3 linked regions of the Alligator mississippiensis genome follow. The protein of the gene in region 1 purifies or fractionates together with the protein of each later gene. This does not show direct contact. Links are inferred from orthologs where the notes say so. Each region holds a gene or a part of one and is shown on either strand. Other genes may lie near its edges.

What was found. The genes of interacting proteins can lie anywhere in the genome.
Region 2: the proteins of ANAPC15 (region 1) and CDC26 purify together in Homo sapiens (affinity purification with mass spectrometry; 3 studies listed by BioGRID and IntAct, with this or other methods). This does not show direct contact. The link is inferred for Alligator mississippiensis from reciprocal best matches to the Homo sapiens genes ANAPC15 and CDC26.
Region 3: the proteins of ANAPC15 (region 1) and ANAPC1 purify together in Homo sapiens (affinity purification with mass spectrometry; 3 studies listed by BioGRID and IntAct, with this or other methods). This does not show direct contact. The link is inferred for Alligator mississippiensis from reciprocal best matches to the Homo sapiens genes ANAPC15 and ANAPC1.

Annotation. Positions count from the first base shown.
Region 1 is NC_081824.1:477,729,498-477,736,793, reverse strand, and holds ANAPC15 (anaphase-promoting complex subunit 15), read left to right. Parts: upstream 1-4,363; 5' UTR 4,364-4,445; intron 4,446-4,729; 5' UTR 4,730-4,734; coding exon 4,735-4,854; intron 4,855-5,068; coding exon 5,069-5,128; intron 5,129-5,742; coding exon 5,743-5,880; intron 5,881-6,342; coding exon 6,343-6,390; 3' UTR 6,391-6,787; downstream 6,788-7,296. UniProt on the Homo sapiens protein: Component of the anaphase promoting complex/cyclosome (APC/C), a cell cycle-regulated E3 ubiquitin ligase that controls progression through mitosis and the G1 phase of the cell cycle.
Region 2 is NC_081835.1:49,102,259-49,110,156, reverse strand, and holds the start of CDC26 (anaphase-promoting complex subunit CDC26), read right to left. Parts: upstream 3,017-7,898; 5' UTR 2,910-3,016; coding exon 2,829-2,909; intron 1-2,828. Other genes in the region: PRPF4 (U4/U6 small nuclear ribonucleoprotein Prp4), read left to right, coding at 3,045-3,161, 4,250-4,427, 4,758-4,944, 5,180-5,267, 6,856-6,935, 7,569-7,662. UniProt on the Homo sapiens protein: Component of the anaphase promoting complex/cyclosome (APC/C), a cell cycle-regulated E3 ubiquitin ligase that controls progression through mitosis and the G1 phase of the cell cycle.
Region 3 is NC_081824.1:237,110,636-237,117,897, reverse strand, and holds the start of ANAPC1 (anaphase-promoting complex subunit 1), read right to left. Parts: upstream 3,017-7,262; 5' UTR 2,896-3,016; intron 2,432-2,895; 5' UTR 2,408-2,431; coding exon 2,195-2,407; intron 1-2,194. UniProt on the Homo sapiens protein: Component of the anaphase promoting complex/cyclosome (APC/C), a cell cycle-regulated E3 ubiquitin ligase that controls progression through mitosis and the G1 phase of the cell cycle.

The sequences.
Region 1 (7,296 bases):
TTCTTGGATGGGGACAGGGGAGTACAATACAACTCTCCAGCACTGGAGCAGAGGGAGCCAGGGCTATGCCAGGCAGGGCTGACACCTGAGCGGCTCGGCCCCGCTTTGCACTGAAGCAGGCTTGACGTACCCATGGGGCAGGTGGGGTCTTGGTCTGGCCTTCCACCTGAGCAGCTCCAGTGCTAAGGGGGGCCGAGCTGCTCAGGTGGGACGTCAGACCCAGACCCCATTTGCCGGGCGGGGAAGTCAACCCCACACGTTCCTCCAGCAGCAGGGGGTATTTTGCCACCTCCCTAAAAAAACAGCAGATTTTTCCAAAGAGCAAGGAAAAACCTCATCTTCAGCTGACTCACCCTCTTTGTCCTGTCTAGGCTGCGAAACAGCAGAGTGACAGCTAACAGACAGCACAACCACTCAAAGAAAAGTTAGCTTCGAAGATGAAGACCTGCTAAAAAGGAGACAGGGAGGTTAACACCTGTGGGGTGGAGAACAAGGAGCTATTAAGATAGGTGACCTCCTCGGCTGCCAGAAGATTAATAGAACAGCTGCTGCAGTGTGATGGAGGAAGCAAATCAGAGGCAGAAAATACACACAGCCTAATTTTTTTTAGGGGGGAGTGCATGTTGTTTGCAAGAAAAGATGGTAGAAACATGAGAAAATACGGTATCTTCTTGACACTGGCCACGTCCCACTCAGCTGGGGCAAAGAGCACCAGCAAAACCAGAAGGAAAAGGATGTCAAGCCAAGCGTGAAGATACCATTAATTCTTTCACTACCTCAGATGAAGGCAGAGGCATGTTTTAGAAGCCCCACGTGCGACTGAATTCCTGCTGGGCACAGCTAACAGCCAGCCAGCTTATCACAGATAGCAACAAGGTAATGAACGCTTCAGAAACATATCACAAACCTCAACTTAGCGAGGGGGAAACTGAGGCAGGACTCGTAGACAATGAGGGTGGGAAGGGACCTCAGGAGGTCACATCCAGTCCAACCCCCTGCTCCAAGCAGGACCAGCCCCAACTACATCATCCCAGCCAAGGAAGAGATTGAAACACTTACCCCAGGAAGCGGGGACGTCCAAGGCAGGGTTAGAACCGGGGAGCGCCTAGCATCAGGCTGTGCTCCCCACCTTGCTGTCTGGGTAAGCACAGAGCGTCCTCAATGATCACCTTACACCGGCCTGGAGCATGCACTTTTCCTGTGGGGGATGCAATGCTGCAGCAGCAGCCCTCACGGCTTCGAGTGATTCACGGAGCAGGTCACCCCGACGAAGCAGAGTAGAAACTCCGTGCCCACTACTGCGAGGTGGCTCTAAAATAAAGCACGACCACAGGCGCCGTGGCTGAATCGTGAGCCTGACAACACATTTGTGAGACACGCCCCGCTCCACGCAGACATGCACACACTTGATCCCAATCCTGGAGCTGACGCAGCTTTCCCTCTGGCCAAGCGCAATTGCCCATCCTCAATGCAAAGGCAGCCAGAGGGCCAAGCTGGCTGTGCAGCTAATGATTAATAGATCTGAGGAGTATTTCCAGGGTGGCTTTTCAATGCAGAGATTTTTTTTTTGTCTATGCACTGCAAGGTTTTTTCCTCTACTCACCACCGCAGCAGCTGGAGCTCTGAGCCAGCAGCTTGCTGTGGGGGGTGGTCTGCTACAGTTCCCGGATTTCTTCTCTGCTGAAATCCTGCTCTGCCATCCTCCAGCCCCTCTTGCCACTGCCCTCCCACCCCATGCTGCCAGCTCCCCACCTTTGGCTGCCCCACACAGGTCAGGATCCAGGGCCCGACGTTTCCCTCTGGTCACCACGGTCTCTTGCCTCGCTCCCTTGGTCCTTCCAGCGCTGGACCTGACTCAGCACCAGCATTGCAGGCATGAGAACCGCTGTCTCTCCTGCTGCAGGGCTTTCCCTGTTTAAACCCCCCCCCAAGCCCCTCTCCCCATCCAAGACGCTGCGCCCTCCCTGACAGCATTGTGCGCTAATCCGATCTATGCATCAGAGCTCTAAGCCCGCAGGGATGGGCTGCAGTCATCCTAATATTCAGGGCTGTTTGCTCAGGTCTGTCGAGCTGAATGGAGCGTAGTAAAGCTTTACCCTTTCCCTCTCGCTGCTGGGGGTCCTCCCTGTGCCCCACAGCAGCAAACACTGCCCGTGAAACCCGCTGCATCCGAGTAGGTTTTGCATGATGCATGGAGGTGCTAGGGCTCCCGTCTACCCCGTACCAGCCCCGGGGCAACTCCCCTTCAAAGCTGGTGGGGACCAGACCAGAGAGGAGAGTGATTTAGGCAAGGAAAACAAGCCAGAGGAGAGCAGATGCATGCTGTCCTGTATCTGATGGGGCCACAGGGAAAGACATCCTTTGGGCTGCTGAAGAAGCAAAGTCATCAAGCTGGACAAACAGTTTAACCCCTCTGGGAGCGCTTCTCCCAATCTCAAGGAGAGGGTGGATCTGCTGAAGACTTTATCACTTTTATGTGATGCTGCAAGGAAGTGAGATGATAGGTGCATTGGAGATGGCGCAGCTCAATATTGCCAAGAAGCCTGAGAAAGCTCTGACAGCAGCCGCTCCTCAAACCGACCCTGCTACAGACACAGGCAATATGGACTAAGTCAGGGCCAGCATTAGCTGCCAAAGCAGCAACATCTGTCAACCCAAGTCCCCCGTGAGCATCCTGAACAGCCTGAGAGCGACCACAGCACCAAGGGTGAGCCCAGAGCAGCCAAAACCACTGCATGTCTAGCAGGGACGTGCCCCCAGGCTGCGGGCTGCAATTATCAACCTAGGCTGTCTGGACGCGGGAGCTGATGCCATCCTCATTCCCGAGCTGTCCAGGCCTGCCTGGGCCCATCTGAAGCTGCATCCAGCAAACCGTTGGCCCCGATCCCTGCCGGGATGCTGAGTGAACAGCTTCTGCGTGAGATGGCGCCTGCATGAGACAACCTGTCTACACTTAACCTTCCCCTCCGCCTGCTGTCCTCTCCCCTGAGCTGGAGCGAAGCAAAGCTGAGCAGGGCGAAGGCAGATGTGGGCTGTCCACTGCGGGTTCAGGGCTCCCTGCCCTGCTGCCCTTCCCTTGGGAGCCCCATGCTTGCCCGCCAGTGGCAGGGGGCACAAGTTGCTACCCCCACTGCTGCCGGGTGGGCAGGGGCCACGTGGCAAAGGAAAGGCAGCAGGGTGGGGAGCCCCAAGCCCGCAGCGGGCAGCCCGCATCCACCCTGTGCACAAATCTGGGGTGCACGTGCCCCCCCCATCCCGCTCCCATGCACCGCTCTGGCTTGGCAGCACCCCCAGCCCCTCACTGTGGGGGCCACAATCTGCCCCCCCCCCCCCATGCCCCTTTCCTCCACAGCCTGACCTGCCGGGCGCTGCTCTCCACGCCGCCCAGCCGCGCTCCTGGCCACGTGCACCTACACGTGGGCCCCCTGCGTCTCGCTCCCGGAGGCCCCAAGCAGGCTGGAGAGCTTCCCGCCTGCAAAGGGAAACCCCCTCACCCTCCCATTGCCCCGGGCGTGTGCGTTAACCCTCCTCCGGACGCGAGGAGGGTGAGGAGGAAGTCAATCGAGATTTATGAGCGACTCGTAATAAAAAAACTAGGCACATGAAATGAGGTGAAAACAACAGGAAGTTTGTTCCCCCCCCCAGGACTTCATCAATCACAGAAGCACAGACCACGGGGGCTGCAAGGGACCTCGGGGGGTCACGTCTAGCGCAACCCCTGCTGCAAGCAGGACCAGCCCCAACTGCATCATCCCAGCCCAGGCTTGGTCTACCCGGGTCTTCAGGATGGAGATCGCACCACCTCTCTGGGCAGCCAGTGTTTTACTACCCTCCTCGTGAGAGCTTTTCCTAATATCCAACCTCAACTTTCCTTGCTGCAGCTGGAGCCCATTGCTCCTCGTTCCCCCACTGGGAACGGTGCCGGTCCAGCCCGGGAGCCGGGCGCCCCTTGCCCCTTTTGGCAGCCTGGCTCCACGGGCGGCCTCGCAGAGCCGACCTGAACCCCCGGCCGATAAACCCCACGTGCCGGGGCCGGCGGGTTACAACCGGGGTCACCGACTCTGGTCCAGGGGGCTTCATCGCGCCACGTCAGGACGTGAACGACACCGAGCGCCGCTGCACGCGGCGCATCACGCGACGGCCGCATTTTAAAACCCGCCGGACTCCTGTACCCATGGCACCCCGCATTTCACACTCGTGCTCGTGAATGCCCGGCGCTGCACCTCCAGCTGTTGCTGTGCCGAGATGGGCAAGGGGAGGGCGCCCTGCCACTGCCGCGCGCTGCCCTTGGTCGCGTCCCCTGACGGCGCACCACGTGACGCGCCGGGACCCATGTGACGCGGCGGCGGCAACTTCGTCCCGGGTGCCTCCTCCGCGCAGGCGCGTGAAGGCGTCACTTCCGCGGTGGAACTCCCGCGCGGCGGCGGGAAGCAGCCGGGCTGCGGGTGAGTAGCGCGCTAGGGAAGGGAAGGGAAGGGAAGGGGGGGCACGCATATGTCACTTCCTCCCCCATTAAATCGCCCCTCCCCCACTACCCCTCCAAAGGACACCTCTCCCCCCAAAGTGACCTTGCCCCCCCAGCCCCCCATCTCCCTGCCCCTCCCCCATCTGCCCCCCCAAAGGGTGCCCCTCCCCCACCCCTAGGGCACCCCTCTGCCCCTCCCCCATCTGCCCCATTGCCCCGCAGGGGTCGGGCCGTACTCATCCCCCCGCCCCGGCGCCCCCCCAGGAGTCATGTCGACGCTGTTCCCGTCGCTGCTGCCACGGGTGACGGAGACGCTGTGGTTCAACCTGGACCGGCCGTGCGTGGACGAGAACGAGCTGCAGCAGCAGGAGCAGCAGCACCAGGCTTGGGTGAGCGCGGGGGGGGGCCGCTGCTCCCCTGCCCCGCGCCGCCCCCAGCCCGTCCAGGAGCGCCGGGTCGCGGCGCGATCTCTCCGTGCGGGGCCTCGGGGGCGACGAGTCGTCAGGAGGGCAGGGCTCGACCCCGCGCGGTCCTTGCTTGCCTGCCGCGCGGCGTGGTGAGCCGCGTGCCCCGTGCCGACGCCTCTCCCTCTTCTCCCCCCAGCTCCAGAGCATCGCGGAGAAAGACAATAACTTGGTGCCCATCGGGAAGCCGGCCTCGGAAGTAAGCGTCGCGTCCCGTCTCTCCGTGCTGCCGAGTTTCCCCTGTTCGGGGAGCACGAAGCCTTTGAGTTGCGGTGTTAACGCCTGCAGCGCGTCAGGCGTGTTATTTCCGTGCGCACACCTCTAGTGCGTGCTAGTGCAACAGATCGCACGCCTTCGTACCAAACAGCTGCTTTCCAAGGGCGTTTCCGGAGGGGCTGCTCGCACGTGGGTCCTTGGTGAGGCGGGGAGCAGGGTTGAGCTCCATTCGGTGGCTGCTCGAGTCTGCCCCAATGCCCTCCGCCGGCACATGGGACCTGCTGCCTGCCCCCGAGATGGGAGGGGAGCTCTTCTCCGCCCCCCTGCTCCAGTATGGACAGGAGGTCGTTCTGCCCCTGGGGGACCGTCCCCATGAGGAAAGGGGCAGTTGCGTCCCATTTCCCCGTGGGGTGAAGGGGGCATCTCTGCACCCTGACGAGACGTGGGCAGGTGATTGCAGGGTGGAACTAGAGGCCGTGGGAAACCTGCGGGTGCTGAGGGGTGGGTGAGGCCCGTGAGCTGGGCGTGGGTGCAGGGGTCCCTGGGCCGTGGGAGAGGGCTGGGCTCTGACCGCTGTGGTCGCCCCCATACCTACAGCACTACGACGAGGAGGAGGAGGAGGACGATGAAGATGACGAGGACAGTGAGGAGGACTCGGAAGATGACGAGGATATGCAGGACATGGACGAGATGAACGACTACAACGAGTCCCCGGATGATGGAGAGATCAACGAGGTACGTGAGGTGGGGCCAACTCAGCGTCCTCCCAGCGTGGGCAGGGGTCCTGCAGGGCGGCGGAGCACGTCCCCTTCCCCTGCCCTGCTGCCCTTCGCTCCCACAGGGCAGCGGGCTTCTGCTCATCCTGCTCTGGGTCTCCTGAGCCAGCCTTGGTCGCATTTACTGGGCTTTTCCCACGGTGAGGCAGCCTGCATAGAGCCCTCCCGGCTCTCCTTACAGGACCCCATCTTGGGGTACCTTGCCTCCCCCCTCCTGCTGACTATGCTTGCCTAAATGACAGGCGAACCCTGTCATCTGAGGTCATGTAGACCCTTGCCCATACAGCCATTGAGCCCAGACAGCCTTCCCCTCCCCCACCACATTGCAGTTCTCCCCAGGGTCCTTCCTGTCCCTGGGGTCCCTGTTAGCAGTGGGTTTGCTGGAGCCGAGGGAGCAGCTCCGTTGTTTCCTCTTTCCAAGGTGGACATGGAAGGAGCGGAGCAAGATCAAGACCAGTGGATGATCTGACGCAGCGGTGGCCTGGCCAAGCGGGAGGCTGCTGGCATCTGCTGCCTGAGACGCTGAAGGGTCGGGGGAGAACTCTTCCCCCAGCTTGGGGTGGGGGTTTCCAACAGGCCCCAGCTGCACGGGGCCCCGGAGGATGTGGTGGCACAAGTGTCATGGGAGCTAGATGCTGGCTGCATCCTGGGCTCTGCAGAGAGCCGACTGGAGGGAGGCTCGTGGTGCTGGCGCCTGGACCTATGCCCGGCCACTCCACACGGAGGCAGCGCTTGTTCCCCGCTGACCCTGCTGGGGTTGGAGGGGCAGTTGGCATGGGCCAGGCAGCAGGGCCTGGCTCTGAGTGGCCAGAAAACCCCATCCTAGAAGTGCTGGAGATCTTCTAATAAATTACTTTTTAAAGAAATGCCTTCCCGGTCTTTATTAGCAACATCAGAGCTCCAGGACTGCTGTGCAGGCCTTGCTGTGTGTTGTACGTAGCCAGTGAGACCATGTTTTCCCCTCTCCTGCAGCTCACAACCGACGGAGCTGTTCTGATGCTGAATTCTTCCCATAGCCTGCCCAGGGCTGGTTCCCACCACTCTCGTTATAATAATAATGCGGGGTTTCTAGCCTATGTGATCCATCAGGTTGATGTCCTGTTCTGTGGTGAATCAGAGCTGCTCAGCTGAGCCCCTAGGCACAGAGGGGCTAAGAGCGTTGCCCAAGGGGACTGGGCACAGTGATGCATGCTGGTGTTGGGGGAAGCACCCTGGGCACTGAGCAGCTCTCATGTAGAGTGGATCGTGGCAGCAGGGTTCGGGAAAACGGGGAGAGACCGAATGGTTCAAGTCGTGGTCAAAAAACACATCCTGGCTGCAGCTTCCTCCCTCGCCTTGGCCTACAGGTGAAGTGCTCCTGGCAGGGGCTGAAGGG
Region 2 (7,898 bases), on another chromosome or scaffold:
CTGCCACCACTGAGAACAGTCTAGTTCAGGAGTGGGCAATGATTTTGGCTGGAGGGCCACTTAATGACTTCTGCTGAGCTGTCAAGGGTTGCACACCTAAAATCTTTTAGAATATATAATTTTAACAAATTATAAATAAAAAACAAAATTATACTAAAAATCAAATATCTAAAGCATATTTTAATTTTATTTAAAAAATATTTTTTGTCTTCGTTTATGTTTTTTGAGTAGCATATATAGAGGCAACTGCATAATAGCTCAAAATACAGTAGAGGTGAATCAATACATTGGTCTGATATTGGATCGGCACCAATATCAAGAAAATTGTCTATATCGGAAATCAGCCTTTTGTGGGTAATAAATGGCCCTTGTATGCGCGCAGCCATAGCACAACACATAGGCAGTGAGGAACACAGCCCCGGGCAGTTGCAGCTGGTAAGTCTCTTGTAGTGGAAGGGGAGTGGAGACCGGGGCAGATCAAGGCCCCTCTGGTGAGGGAGGGAGTGAGACTGGGGAAGATGCTTCCCAGCCTGGGGGCAGGGTGGGGAGAAGGGGGAGGGTATGGCACAGAGTCACAGCTGGGGGGGGAGGCAGGGAGGGGCGGGGCACGGGCATGGGAAGGGGGGAGTGGCTCCTGCCCTGCACACTGCTCATCCGGGAGCCGCTCATCCGGTGGCTCCAGCTGCTGCTCCCGTCACTCGTCCAGGAGGGCATGGGGGGGTGTGCCCCCTTATCTGTGCAGAGAAGGGTGGGCCAGGGCTGGGCCAGGCTGCATTCAGGGTGGGCAGTAGCACTGGGAGGGGGCTATGGCGGGGACTACAGCAAATTTCGGGGTGGCTGCAGCCCCTCCAGCCCCCTCCCACCGCCACCACCACCCACAGCCCAGTCCACACCCCTGCTGGGAAGAGCCCAGTGCTGTACCCTGCCCCTCCTTGCCCCTCAAGGCACACGCCCCCACCCCTGTGTCCTCCAGGGGTGCGCGCAGCAGTGGGAGCTGCCCCCACCAGATGACCTGCAGCTCCATCCTGTGCCCCACCCCACCCCGCCCCAGCTGGGCAGTGCCTGCCCCACCCCCACTCCCTCCCTCACTGCAGGGGCCTTCATCTGCACCCCCACTTGCCTTCCCCTCCCCCACCCCTTCCACCACAACAGACTTACCAGCTGCACACAGCTGTTTTGGAAATCAAAGTGGTATTTGCTAATATGTCTTCTTAAAAATTGGCTATCAGTATCAGCCCCAAAAATCTCTATCAGTGCACCCCTAAAATACAGTCTTACTCTAGTATATTGTGGGGGGTAGGGAGGCAGTGTGTGTGTATGTGGCAGAGGGCAGGGGGGTGTGAGGAGCTGCCTAGTTGCTAGGTCCTGGGAGCTGGGCAAAGGTGGGGGGCTAGGGGCAGGTGCAGCAGAGCTCAGCCAGGTGGTGCAGATGCAGGTGTGGTCAGCTACTCCCAACCCCACACCCAAGCCGCAGATGCCCCTGCGGTGCTCCACATGGGGCTGAGCCCTGCCTGGGGCAGTCCCATCTGCACCTGCTGGCTCCAGCCAGCATGCACAGCTTCCCCAACATGCACAGCTTCCCGGCAGGGCTGCAGCTGTTTAGGTATTGCTTGGTCTCCCCCACACCTCCAGCAGCTCCTCCTCCTTCTCCTGCCATATGCGCCGGGAGAGGAGAGTGGTGGGGAAGAGCTGCAGCCAGGAGGCTCCTGCCCCAGTGCACCTTCCACCCACTCTGCCTGCCCAGTGTGATGAACAGACATGAGCAGCCACCTCTGGGTGGCCGAGTGGACAGAAGATGGCTGGGAGCTGGAGGTCAGCATGCTGGGGAAGGAGCTGCCTGGCTGCAGAGTCCCTCCAGCCTGGAGTGGTGCAGCAGGGGCAGGAGGAGGAACCACTGGAGGTGTGGGAGCAGCCCCGCCAGGAAACTGTGCGCTGGCTGGGGCCGTTGGCAGATGTAGGCTGCCCTGGGCAGGAGAACAAGTCGAGCCAGGCTCCATGTGGAGCACTGCAGGGGCAGCCACAGGCTGGATCCAATCAACTGGCTGGCCGGCAGTTTGCCCACCCTGGTCAAGTTCCATCCTCTTTGTGATCATCCTGCCAGTAGCTGAAGGCTGCTATTAAATCCTCTCTCAATCTTCCCTTCTCCAGACGAAAATAAGGCCAGTGCCCTCAGCCTTTCCATAAGTCATGTCCCAGCCCCTGAGCCATTGTTGCTGCCCTCTGCTGGACTCTCTCCAATTTGTCCACATCCTTTCTATAGTTGGGGGGGGGGGGGGGGGGGGGGGCAAAACTGGACACAGTGCTCCAGATGTGGCCTCACCAGTGCCAAACAGAGAAGAATAATCACTTCCCTTGACCTGCTGGCAACACACCTACCAGTGCAGCCCAGTATGCCATTAGCCTTCTTCAGAACAAGGGCACTCTGCTGGCTCATATCCAGCTTACTGTCCACTGTCCACTATTATCCATAGTCCACTGTAACGCCCAGGTCCTTTTCTGCAGAGCTGCTACCCAGCCAGTCACCCCCGGCCTGTCCCGGTGCACGGGATTGCTCCGTCTTAAGTGCAGGACTTTGCACTTGTCCTTGTTGAACCCCATGAGATTCCTCTGGGCCCAGTCCTCCGGGTTGTCTCGGTCCCTCTGAACCCCAGCCCTGCACTCCAGTGTACCCACTACTCCCCCCGCTTGGTGTCATCCGCAGACTTGTCTTTCTCGCCTCCGCACGGCGGCGGAGCTCCCCGGGACGCCCCGCGCACGGCAGGCGGCCCCGGCCGCGGCGGCCCCTGGGACGGGAGCGCCGAGTGCGGCCGGGTCTCGACGCGCCTCACCTCGAGGTCCTTCCTGATGCTCTCGAACTCCTCGATGTCGTCTAGCTTCAGCTCCAGGCGCGTCGGCTTCCGCCGCAGCATCGCGAGCGCCACCGGCCCCGCCGCCTCTCGCCGGCAACCGGACAGCCCGGCCCCGACCGCTGCCGCAAACCTGCCCACTTCCGGCCGGCGCCTCCCGGCATACCCTGCGCTCACTTCCGGCCGGCGCCTCCCGGCATGCCCCGCGCGGCAACCCGGAACCAGTTGGGTGAAGACAGGCCCGTAGTGCGGAGAGTCCCTGCAGCGGCCGGTGTTGCCGTCGCCATGGCGTCCGCGCGGGGCCCTGCGGTGCGGGTGAAGCGGGGCTCGGGGGATCGGGGCGCGGTTGGGGCCGGGCCGGGCTGGGCTATGCGATGCGGGGTCTCTCGTTGCGTGCACCGGGCCCAGAGCGGGGGGAGGGAGTTGGCGTTTCTCCTTGTCCCTGATTGTGGGCGGCGCGGGCCCACCCCGTGAAATCTGCTTCTTGCCCGGGTCCGCCCGGCGCCGGCTCCCCGAGGTCCTGGAAGGGATCTGAATGCCCCCGGCAGGGCCATGGCCCCTGGTCCCTGGGTGAGAATCACCGCAGCGGAGGGGTGCACGGGAGTGCTGCGTAACACCGGTGGTTGTGAACACGTCGATCAGTTGTATCCCTGCAGCAGGTTTTAAGACTCAGGTAGACAAAGGGTTGGCTGGGATGATCCAGTTGAGGGGGGCCCTGCTTCAGGCAGGGGGCTGGACTGGATAAAATCGGAAAACGAGGGTTGGAGGGGACCTCAGGAGGTCACATCTAGTCCAACCCTCTGCTCAAAGCAGGACCATCTCCAACTCTACCGTCCCAGCCAAGGCTTTGTCTACCTGGGTCTTAGAAACCTCTAAGGATGCAGACGACGTCTCTGGGTAACCTGAGGCCTGTTCCAACCCTCGTTTTGTATGACTTTAGACTTAAAGTTGAAACATCCCGTTATAAATTTGGGATCATACCCTGGCAGCATTGCAGTTGCTGGGAAATTTGCTAGTAACTTACAACAGGGTTGGATTTTTGTGCCTTTATTTTTGACTTGCTGCCCAACCTTGTGTTTACTCCCTAAAAGTTGAAGGGATATGTGCTGTTGTTAAGCACAAATTGATATGAGTGCATCGGAAAGCAAGTCTGGGATATATTTTTACACGTTGTAAAGAGGCATAAATAAAGAAATCCCTGCCCGGTTTCCTTAAGCATAATTTGTGTTGAGGAATCCCTTCCCTGTTCAGAGCTAATGTTCTAGGTATAATTTCAGGGTTTCTGGTCTGGGTAGACCAGAAACCCTGAATGATTTGTGCAGCCAAAGCAGTTTGCTGAATTGCTGCTCCCAAGCCGGATACATACTGAACCAGTCTGTTAAAATCTTGCTTTTATTTTGTAGGCAACAAAAACCAAGATCTCAGACGAGAGTGATGCTCCCCCAGTCAAGAGACCTCATATCTTCTATGGAAGTTTGGAGGAGAAGGAAAGGGAGCGTATTGCCAAAGGGGAGCTGGGGCTGCTAGGAAAAGATGGGATGAAAGCTGCAATTCAGGCTGGCAACATTAACATTAGCAGTGGTAAGAACACACTCTGTATAGTGCTTTCAGCTTCTTTTCTTGCTTCTGGCTTAGAGATATTTAAAAAGACATTTTTGTTGGGGTTCAGCTCAGGGCTTTAGGACAGCCCCTGATCTGCTGCTGTGTTTTAATACAGAAATTTTGGCTGCAGAGACTACAAGCCATCCAGTATTCCATCATGATTTGAATGGGGGTGGGAAGTCCATTGCCAGCACTGACCGTCCCTACCCTAAATGGGCAAAAATATTTATAGCTTTTAATGGTTATAGTTGTCTAAGTCTCTGGTGCAGTTGTCATTGCTTCAATTTGATGGCTTTGTTTCTGGCATAGGTGAGGTCTTCGATCTTGAAGACCATATGAGTGAGCGCCAGGCAGAAGTGTTGGCTGAATTTGAGCGCAGGAAGCGTGCTAGGCAAATCAATGTTTCCACCGATGACTCTGAAGTCAAGGCCTGCTTACGAGCTCTTGGGGAGCCCATCACACTCTTTGGAGAAGGGCCTGCAGAAAGAAGAGAAAGGTGCTGTGTCTTGTCCTTTGTGTGGCCTGCCCTGTAACCAAATCATAAATCTCTTGTAAAACTCCTTGAGCTGTTGAGTGCACTGAATGCTGTTGCCCACTGTTCCTTCTCAGTGATATAACAGCAACTGATCAATTTCTTCTTCATTCACTCTTTACATCTGTCAGACATGGTCAAGAATGCCTGAGAAGTTATTGACTGAATCTTATTTAATGCTTGGTGTGTTTCATTTCAGATTGAGAAATATCCTCTCGGTGGTTGGCACTGATGCCTTAAAAAAAACGAAGAAAGATGACGACAAGTCTAAGAAAGCCAAAGAAGAGGTAAACATCTCTCCCATTCTTGGATTCTGCAGGTTATTAATGTAGAGAGAAGGAGACCATTTTATAGAAACCTTCAAATTCCTTCATGGACCATCTGTAACATTTCCAGAGCTCTGACATTGATTTTTTGGTATCATTAGACAGCCTGATAGTGTAAGGTGGACTTATCAGTATACGACTTATAGGACAGTGACATCCTAAGGCAGGGGTGGGCAAAATGGTGGATCTGGCTAGTGGTCAGACTTCTTTTCCCAGCAGCCCCTGTCCATGTTGCTACAGCCGTTTTCCATGGCTATCTCAGAAGTGGTGGCACTGTGACAGCGCGGGGCCAGGGTTTCCATGGAGACTGGCCCCAGCAGTGCTGGTAGGGCGCGTGGCAGGGCAGGGAGCTGCTCCGCAGCCAGGGCTGGGATCTTGCAGTAATGACAGTGTGGTCTGGAGCTGGAGCAGAGCCACAATCCATTGCACGTATGCCCCTGCCTGGGACTTGCAGGCAGTGTTCCCTCTAAGGAGCAGCGGTCCATGAGTGTGCCGCCTCGGCCTAGCATGGGACACTTACCAGAGGGGGCTGGGGGCTAGGGCTGGAGGCTGGAGCTGGAAGCCGGGAGCCAGGGGCTGGAGCTGGGGCCCAGGGGCTGGGCCAGAGGCTGGAGCCAGGGGCCAGGGGCTGGGCCAGAGGCCGGAGCCGGGGGCCAGGGGCTGGGGCAGAGGCTGGGGCTGAGGGCCAGGGGCTGGAGTCGGAGCCTGGTGCAGACTCCCTGGCTCCGAGGAAGTGCTTTGCTCCCCTGCATCAGGGCCGGGGAGTGGAGCACTTCCCCGGAGCTGGCGGAGCCCGCACCAGTCCCCCGTCCCAGCCTCCATCGCTGCCTTGCCTAACCTTAGGGAGGAACCGCTGCCTGCCCTGAGCGAGGCTCCGCAGGCTCCGGGACACTGCTTCACACCCCGGCACCGATGCCACGTGCCTCCTTGCTCCCTGAGGCGATGCAGGGGAGTGGAGCAGTGTCCCGGAGCCTGCAGAGCCTCACTCAGGGCAGGCAGTGGCTCCTCCCCAAAGTGAGGCAAGGCATCGATGGAGGCTGGGGCGAGCGGCTGGTGCAGGCTGCGCCAGCTCCAGGGAAGTGCTCTGCTCCCCTGCCCTGATGTGGGGGAGCGGAGCACTTCCTTGGAGCCGGCGGAGCCCATGTTAGGCTCGCGCCCCAGCCTCTCCCAGTGCACAGCCTTGAAAAGGCTGTCCGTGGCCACACTTTTAGTTGTGCACATGCACGCGCCTTAGAGGGAACCTTGCTTACAGGTAGCGGATCACAGCTCTGCCTCTGCTTTGGACCATGCTGTCACTGCCGCAAAATCCCAGCCCCAAAGCAGCTTCCCACCACCGCACTGTGGGCCCTGCCAGCCCTGGTAGAGGCAGTCTCTATGGAAACTCTCGTGCTGCACTGTCACAGTGCCCCTGCTGCTGGGGTCTCCATGGAAACCGGCCACAGCAGTACAGGCGGGGTTGCTGGGAAATGGAGTCTGCTGCAGGCTGGACTTTGACTGCTCTTGTCCTAAGATGTTCTTGAATTTGTTTGGTTTGTTTTCTTTTTTTTAGTATCAGCAAACCTGGTACCATGAAGGGCCAAGCAGTCTGAAAACAGCTAGATTGTGGATCGCCAACTACTCACTCCCCAGGTAAAGAAAGGGGCTGTAAAGCAAGCAAAATGAAAGAAGGTGCAAGCTTTTCTGAAGAGCAATGAACTCAGTAGATGATGGGCAGTGCAGGCGTTTGAGGTTCAGGATAAGAGGCAACACTGGACATGCAACAAAGGCTAGAGCCGAGCGTAACTGGACTTGGAGGTTGTGCGCTTAGTTTGAGTCTTGCCACAGAGTTTTGCTGGCAGAACTCCAGCTCACACTCAATACCTCTCTGCAGTGGCAGAACCTTTTTGTCTGTTGGTAGAATCATTTCACCTCTGCAAAATGGAGTAAGGCTTTTGCTGACACCCAGCGGCCAGCTGAAGAGGTTACAGACACCACTGTGCTTTTAGCTGCAGTTCAGTCAGCAGCTAGTGTCTTTCCACTGGACACTTCGTGCTCCAGCAGCCCAGGTGCAGAGCGGAGCTGCACAGAGCTACCAGTAGCAGATTGGTGTGCACATGCTCTGGTGGTTCAGCACTAGCAGCAGAGACGAAGGAGTGTAGATATAGCCTGAATAGTGGTTGTAAGACTCCAGCTCTGGGACAGAAGGGAAGGTAAAGGATCTGTTCCCTGCCCTACAGCAGGGAAGTGCAGGGATTCATCATTATAATTTTGTTTCTGCCACAGGGCAGTGAAGCGGTTGGAAGAAGCCCGACTGCTCAAAGAAATTCCCGAGGCTACGAGGACATCCCAGAGGCAAGAACTGCACAAGTCCCTAAGGGTAGGTGTGGTTTCATCTCAGCTACTCTCTCGTGATAAGACATCAGCAAGGGGTTAAGAGAACAGAATGCAGAGGCCTACACTAATCTCCCAGTACACATTATTCTTCCTTCCATGCATGTTGTGCTTTCACTGTGTTCTGCCTGTCCTCCCTTTTTTATCATCAGGCTTGTCAGTGGTTTGAGAGCGGGACTTGGCTTTAAATACTCTGCCTGCAGGACAAAAAACTGCAGAGAC
Region 3 (7,262 bases), about 240 Mb from region 1:
ATATAGTCCAAGCTTTCCTTTCCAGCTCGTCTCTACCAGCCCTAGAAACCTCTTTTAGAAGGGGGGGCAGGAGGGGGGTCTCCATGCCTGTTTGCTCTTCTGCTTGTTTGCAGAGATTGCTGATATATGCACCAATTATGAAATGCTCAGACTTATTTCCTTACTACCCTCTCACAATATTTTCCCAACCAAGAGAACAACGCAGTTATATTATAGTTAGAGTGCTGGAACACTCTTCTATCTGATACCCAAGGGCTTGGTTTACCAGAGGTACATTCCTTCCCAGCTGCATACAAACTCATGCATACACATCTCAAATCATGGATTATGAATAGCTGTAAACATTACACATGTCCAGCTAGATTCTGACAGACAAAAATAGAAAAAAGCTTTGCTTCTTTTACATGCAAAAAACTAACAAAAACAAAAACAAAAAAGATTAATCCATAATTTGCAGAAACGGACGATGTCAGAAGCAGTATTTTTTTGTTCCTTTAGATAGAATCTTACACTTCGCAGCCACCTGTGATGGCATAAAGCTTTTGCCCACCTGATTGTACAACATTTTATCTGTGTATTAGGGTTTCACAATCAGTTATGGAATACATCAAAGTAGGAGGGAGGGAATGGAGTAGGCATCATTACAAGTAAGATTGCTGCTGTGGGGGGAACTATTTGGGGCCTGTCCTACACACAATTTTCATACTAATCTAATGGTAGGTTAGGAACATCACTTTCTATCAAAACCATTAAATCAGTCTCACTGTTCTTACTCCAAGTGTGTCCCCACTTTGATGTCACCTTTGCCTGTCATCATTTCTCTCCCTTTCTTAGTCTTTCCTACTGGCTACATAAATCTACATCAGCATCCTCATCTCCATCACCCATATCATGGACGACTATTGTTTCTTTGTTGGCCAGCACTGATCTATACAATAGCACTGGCCTTGCCACTCTTAGAAAAATGCCAATTAATCTGGAAGAAAAAATTTACATCGTAAGTCATGGTAACCAACCCCACTTTATCCTTTATTTATTCTGTTCTTAATTTTCTCATCTGTCTCTATTTTTTCCACAATGGCGCTCGGGTACTTGAACGTATATGCAGGTGTGTGGGTCATCCAATCCCAGGGGTGCACTCCCTGAATAAGTGCATGACATGTATTCCATATTTTTCTCTGCTGATCCATAGACTATGCCTTTTCAGGATGTCCCTCCCCCTGCTCAAATCATTCTCTGCCTTTTGCAAAACCGACCACGTAGTCTACAAACATTATGCAACGTCATCCTTCTGAATGCTCCTGGTGAACATATCAAGAACTAATGCAAACAAAAAACAGGCATAGTGCTGACCCTTGACAAACCCCAACCTCGACTGGGAAATCCCGCCTTCCAGTGTGCGCTTCTAATTTGTGGTTTTGAGCCTCTACACTCATTTTGCACAACCCTCACACAGCTCTAGTACTAGTTGTTCCCTCATATATCACACCACTTCTCTTAATAGATACATGGTCACGTGCTTCTTCCACGTTAACAAACACCAGGTGAAAATTCTTCCCGTCTTCTCTGTACTTTTCCACTGGACATCTCACTGAAATAATTGCATCATTCGCTAATTTACCTGGCACAAATGTAAACTGATTTTTGCCATTTTTTACTTCCCTTCTCCCTCACAGTTTTAATTAACTCAGTATAAAATCTAATGTAGACATGTTTATATCTGTGCCTTGTAGCTGAAGAACTGCATCCCCATCAGAAGTGTGTTCTTATACTAATAGTTAATGTGGTATAGCTTTTGTATGTAAACTTGCCCTTTTGTCCTTTTCTTCATAGGGTGGATGTAGTTACTGCAGCAGCTTGTTTGTAGAAGCCAGATCAATGAAACCCATGTGACTACACATGGCTAGACAGAAATGTAACAACTGTGCTGAACCAGAGCACATCACTGCAATGAGAAACAGTGCAGTAAAATGTACTATCTATATTTTTACATGCGTTTCCTAAACAAATACATACAGCTATCCTATTTGCTCTTTGGAGGGAGTTCCTCAATATTTGGAGTTTAAGCATATATTAGTACATATATTATGTATTTTAGTACGTATAGTTCAAATAGTTAATGAAAAGTTTTTTTCTTCAAGCTCATTAGGTTTAATCATCAGAATAATTGTTTAATCAGTAAGTCCAACTCTACCTTCTGTTTTTCGTGGATTGTCACCTCCTGAAAAGATCCCACAAGGCCAGCAGCTCCATCAGAGGACCATAGCTCAGAAGCTGGCTGCAGCTCCCGCAGCTGAAGGTTCAGGGCATTAGGGTGGTGCCTGCAGTAGTCACGGCCAAAAGGAACAAACTCCTGCAAATCCCCGGCTGCAATCATCGTTGCCCTCTCTTCATGCTTGTTCGACATGGGTTCCAAATATCAACATTATTTCTGAATCCAAGACAAAACAGTCATCAGTGCCAGTCACGCCTCCGATGTCATGCAAATCACCTAGGTAATATTTAGCAGTTCACAACAAAAAACCTTTGCATGTAAACATGGATTTTCAAGAAAAAGAAATACGGGGAAACACATTTCAAGGCTCTTCAAGGTTCTGTAGTGTACAGTTCTGCTTGCCAGCTGACTTGCTCACTTATTCCTATTTCTCCTGAAGCCTGAGCCAAGCGTCCCAGGTTTTCACAAAGAAAACCACCAGGATAGCAGCGATTCCAGCACTGTCTGCCAAGCTCCTTACCGGTCCCACCCTTCCCACAGCTCTGTCCTCCCAACCACTGTACAGTGAGGCCACAGAAAAGCCTCCGCCCTGGCCCAACCCCGCTTTGGAGGGACCCTTTCCTGAGCTCCCGGTGAGGTGTCCGGGACCGCTACCCATACGCGCTCGGGCGCGCACGAACCTGCCTGCCACAGGAAAAAGGAGGGGCGGGGGGAGGGCGGGCGCGCGGCGGCAGCGGGACCGGGGCTCCTTCCGCAGAGCGCAGCGCAAGCCCCAGCGGCGCCTCACGCGGGCGCGGCCATCTTGGAATTCCCACCACCCTCCTCGGCTCGCAGGCTGCGTCACCGCGGCGGGGGGCGGGAGACCTCCGGGCTGTTGTCGCGGCAGCGGGGTACGGCCGGGAGGAGGGGACAAGACGGATGTACCATAATGATGGTGTTGGTGCCATCACTTCAGCCTTCGCACCATGTATGATTAACAGGGACCCTGGTTTTCTCTGCTTAAAAAAAACCCAACCCATTTCGGATTTAAAAAAACAAACACCCCACATCCACATTTTTCCGTGACTAAAATGAAACACCACTCTCTCTCTCGCTATATAAGTTGTGTAGGTTGTAGCCGTGTTGGTCTAAGGACATAGGCAGACAAGACTCTTTGGGTAAATCTAATATCTTTTATTAGACCAACTCAGGCAGTTGGAAAAAAAATTCTTTGCAAGCTTTCGGGTATTTCATAGATTTAATAGATTTCACGGACATTCGGGCTGAGCTGGAAGGGACCCTGGAGGATCATCGAGGCTAGCCCCCTGACCCAGGGGCAGGAAGTCAGCAGGGATCATAGGATCCCAGCAAGATAAGCATCCAAATGTGTCTTGAAGGCTTTCAGAGTAGGTGGTTGAACCACCCCCGACGACAGTCTATTCCAAACCTTGGGGGCTCAAGCAGTAAAGTTCTTCCTTATGTCCAGCCTGAAACGGTCCAGCGGAGTTTGTGACCGTTCGACCTTATCATCCCTTGGGGCACTCTGGTGAACAGACATTCCCCCAGATCCTGATGAGCACCCCTGATAAACTTATAGGTGGCCATCAGATCGCCCCTGAGCCTGCACTCTTCCAGGCTGAAGAGTCCTATGGCTCTTAGCCTGTCGTCGTAAGATCTGTTTTCCTGACCTCTGATCATGCGCGTGGTTCTTCTCTGGACTCTCTCAAGCTTCTCCACATCCTTTTTGAATTGTGGAGCCCAAAACTGGACACAGTACTCCAGCTGCGGCCTCATCAAGGCTGAGTACAAGAGGAGAATGACGTCCTGGGATTTGCTTGAGAAGCATCTATGGATGCAAGCCAGCATTTTGCTTGCTTTACTAGCTGCAGCGTCACATTAAGGCTCATGTTCATCTTGTGGTCAATCATGACCGCCAAGTCCCTTTCATCTGTAGTGCTAACCAGCGTAGCACTGCCGAGCCTATAAGCATGCTGCAGGTTTTTCCTCCCAAGGTGGAGAACCTTGCATTTTTGGGTGTTGAACACCATCAGGTTCTCATCTGCCCATTTCATGAGCCTGTCAAGATCTGCCTGGATCACCCTCCTGTCCTCAGGTGTGGATGCTTTACCCCAGAGTTTGGTGTCATTGGCGAACTTGGCCAGTCTGCTTCTGACACCAGTGTCTACATCACTGATAAAGATGTTAAACAGTAGAGGCCCTAGGACAGAGCCTTGAGGGACCCCACTGGTCACAGGGCACTGTGACAATTGGCTTCTGTCAACCACCACCCTCTGGGTCCTACTGCAGAGCCAATTCCCCAGCCAGTGGATCATGGTGAGGTTGAGTCCACAGCTAGCCAGTTTTGCCAAGAGGTGATCTTGGGATACCAGATCAAAGGCTTTTTTAAAGTCAGGATATACGACACCAATCTCTTCCCCCTTGTCCAGGTGATAGGTCACCTGGTCGTAAAAGGAAATGAGATTGGTCAAGCAAGACCTTTGTAAGGCTGAGGAAGCAAGAATTTTTTCCAACTATTTGAGTTGGTCTAATAAGAAATAGCAGCTTTACCCAAAGAACCTTGTTGCAATATATTAGAGGCATTCCATATTAATCATGGAAACGTGGATTTGGGGTTACTTTTTTAAACTGGAAATTGGGGATTTTTTTTCAGAGAAAGCCAGGATCCCTGACAATCAATAATAGAAAATGTGTTCAGAATGTACCTATTTTTGCGGCAGCTCATTGACAGCATATTCAAAACCCAAGTCACTTGCAAGGAGTCTTAACAGGCCTTTGGGTTTGCTGTCAGCATTTTCTTATGACAGCTTACCTCAAAATAAAGAAATGCTTCCAGTTGGATGGCCCAGTTCTCATGGTGACTTACAATGAGCAATATAAAGTAAATAAGAAGGCTTATTTGTATATTCATTTGCAATTTTTTTCAGTGTATGGTAGTTTTTCAGTAAATACAATAATTTCATACTTAAGACCTGGCAACACTAGACCTGCTGCAGAGCTCCTGGCAGTGTATCAGTGGCCCAGAGGGAAGGGACCTGCTGCTGCCACCTGGCTTTCGCCATGGAGGTGGAGATGGAGGACAGTGATGCTGTGGCAGGAGGCCCCTGCCCCAGGGTAAGGCAATGCCCAGGCATGCTAATGGCCCTGTGGTTAGGTATAGGGGTGTGGGGCAGAGCCATCCACGCTGCCCGTGTCACTGACAGTGGGGGAGGCAGCTTGGAGGCAGGTGGGATGTGAAGCCACTGGTACAGACACACCACCCTACAAGAGCTTCTGAGGACTTTTTTTAAGTTCCCAAACATGTAAGCATCCCTGATTTTTCTCTGCATGCTCTAAGGCAGGTGCCCTCCCCTCCCCTTCCCAGTCACTGCAGTTTTCCCATTTGTTCCAGAGCTGGGGATGCTTCTGTGCTGGGTACAGTGCAGCAACAGGAAGGGGCTAGGTTCCTCCACTCTGCCCATTCCCCCCAGGAGTAGGCACTGTGGCTGCCCCCTGTCCTCCCCCTCTCCCCTGCAGCCCAGTTGGAATGAGTAGGATCAGCTCTGAAGATTTCACCCCCCCCCACCCCCTCCCCAGGAAGTGGAAATAGGAGCAGGACAGGTGGGGAACAGAGGAAGGGGAAGAGAGGAGATGTGCCTCTGACTCTGGAGGAGAACGGAGGATTCTCGTCCACTTAAAAAGAAGTCCCCAGAGGCTCCAGCAGCACAATCCAGTCCAAAAGAGGGATGTAGTCACCCTACTGCACCCCCTCTGGATCCACCCCTGGGATGAGGGGGCAGGGTGCCTTTGCTGTTATTATTAGAGCAGGGAACCAGCCTTGGAAGAGGGAAGCTATCACTCAGCTTTCACCAAGGCAGCGGGGCTCTCTGTCTTGGTGTTGTCACCATAGTGGCAGGTTTTGCTCAGGGTGGAACTCAGCTGCCACTACTGGGATGTAGAGGTAGGAGCAATGGCAGCTGTTCAAAGAGAAGAGAGATAGGGATCTCCAAGAAGTAAGGGAGCTTGGGCATGTCTGTACCGTGGTATCCAGGGAGGTATTGCACAGGAGCTGCTGCGGCAGAACCTGGGCACTTCTCAATGCAGAAAGAATGCTCTGCCATCTGGGTTTACTGGGAGAAAGTAAATCAGGCATAATGCAGAAGTCTCAAGCCTACTATCTAGTTGGGATTCTCAGATACACATTCTGCCCCTGAAAACAGGATGGGCGAAGCTCCTCTACCTCCAACCTTTTGGCCTGCAAGCCACTTCCCTTCCATTTCTTTGGAAGTTGATCTCCCCAGTTATGAAACAAATAAGAGTGACCAGTTGGTTACTATATTGTGAACTGGCTACCCACAATGTGAGGGAACCCCATGCACCCCTGGGCCCAGCAGACTGCAGCTGCCGCAATCCCCCAGGCCCAGGGGACCAAGGCAGCCACAATCCCCCATGCCTGGGGGTTTCACAGTAGGCAAGGTGCAACCCTGTGGCTGGGAGGTCTGTCAGCTGAGAGGATTCCCAGCTGCAGGGGAGACCCTGCTTACACATGCAAATTAAAGCTAGATAGCAACCAGCTGTAAAGTTGTACACATTTTCAAGGTCTAACTTTATAGTTGGTTGGAGCTTTTTATTGTGTATTATAACTACTTTGCAGGTGTAGCTGGTATCAAAGTAATTGCACAATACCTGTAACATGTAGAGGGGGCTTCAGAAGAAGGTGTTTACAGGTAACCCCTAACTGAGCAGCCCCTGGCCACAGTCCACAAGTGGATGGAAGAATTAGAAATAAATATGTATAATAATGATTTCTCTTTTGCAGTTCAAAGTCTCATTTCTATTCTAAATTCGTATTTGCAGTCTCAGTTTCCCTGTAATGTCCAGATCACTGAAAATGACCCTAGTGTCACTACATCACTAATTCACAGCCATATTGAACTAGTCTTATGTCATCCCTTTAAAGAACCTAGTCATCTTTAAGAGTACAAGTTTTTTTTCATCAAGCAATTGGCCCTTCTAGCCACAATAAGCTGCCATGCCAAGCAGCCTCCATTAAAAGGGAACATCTCATATT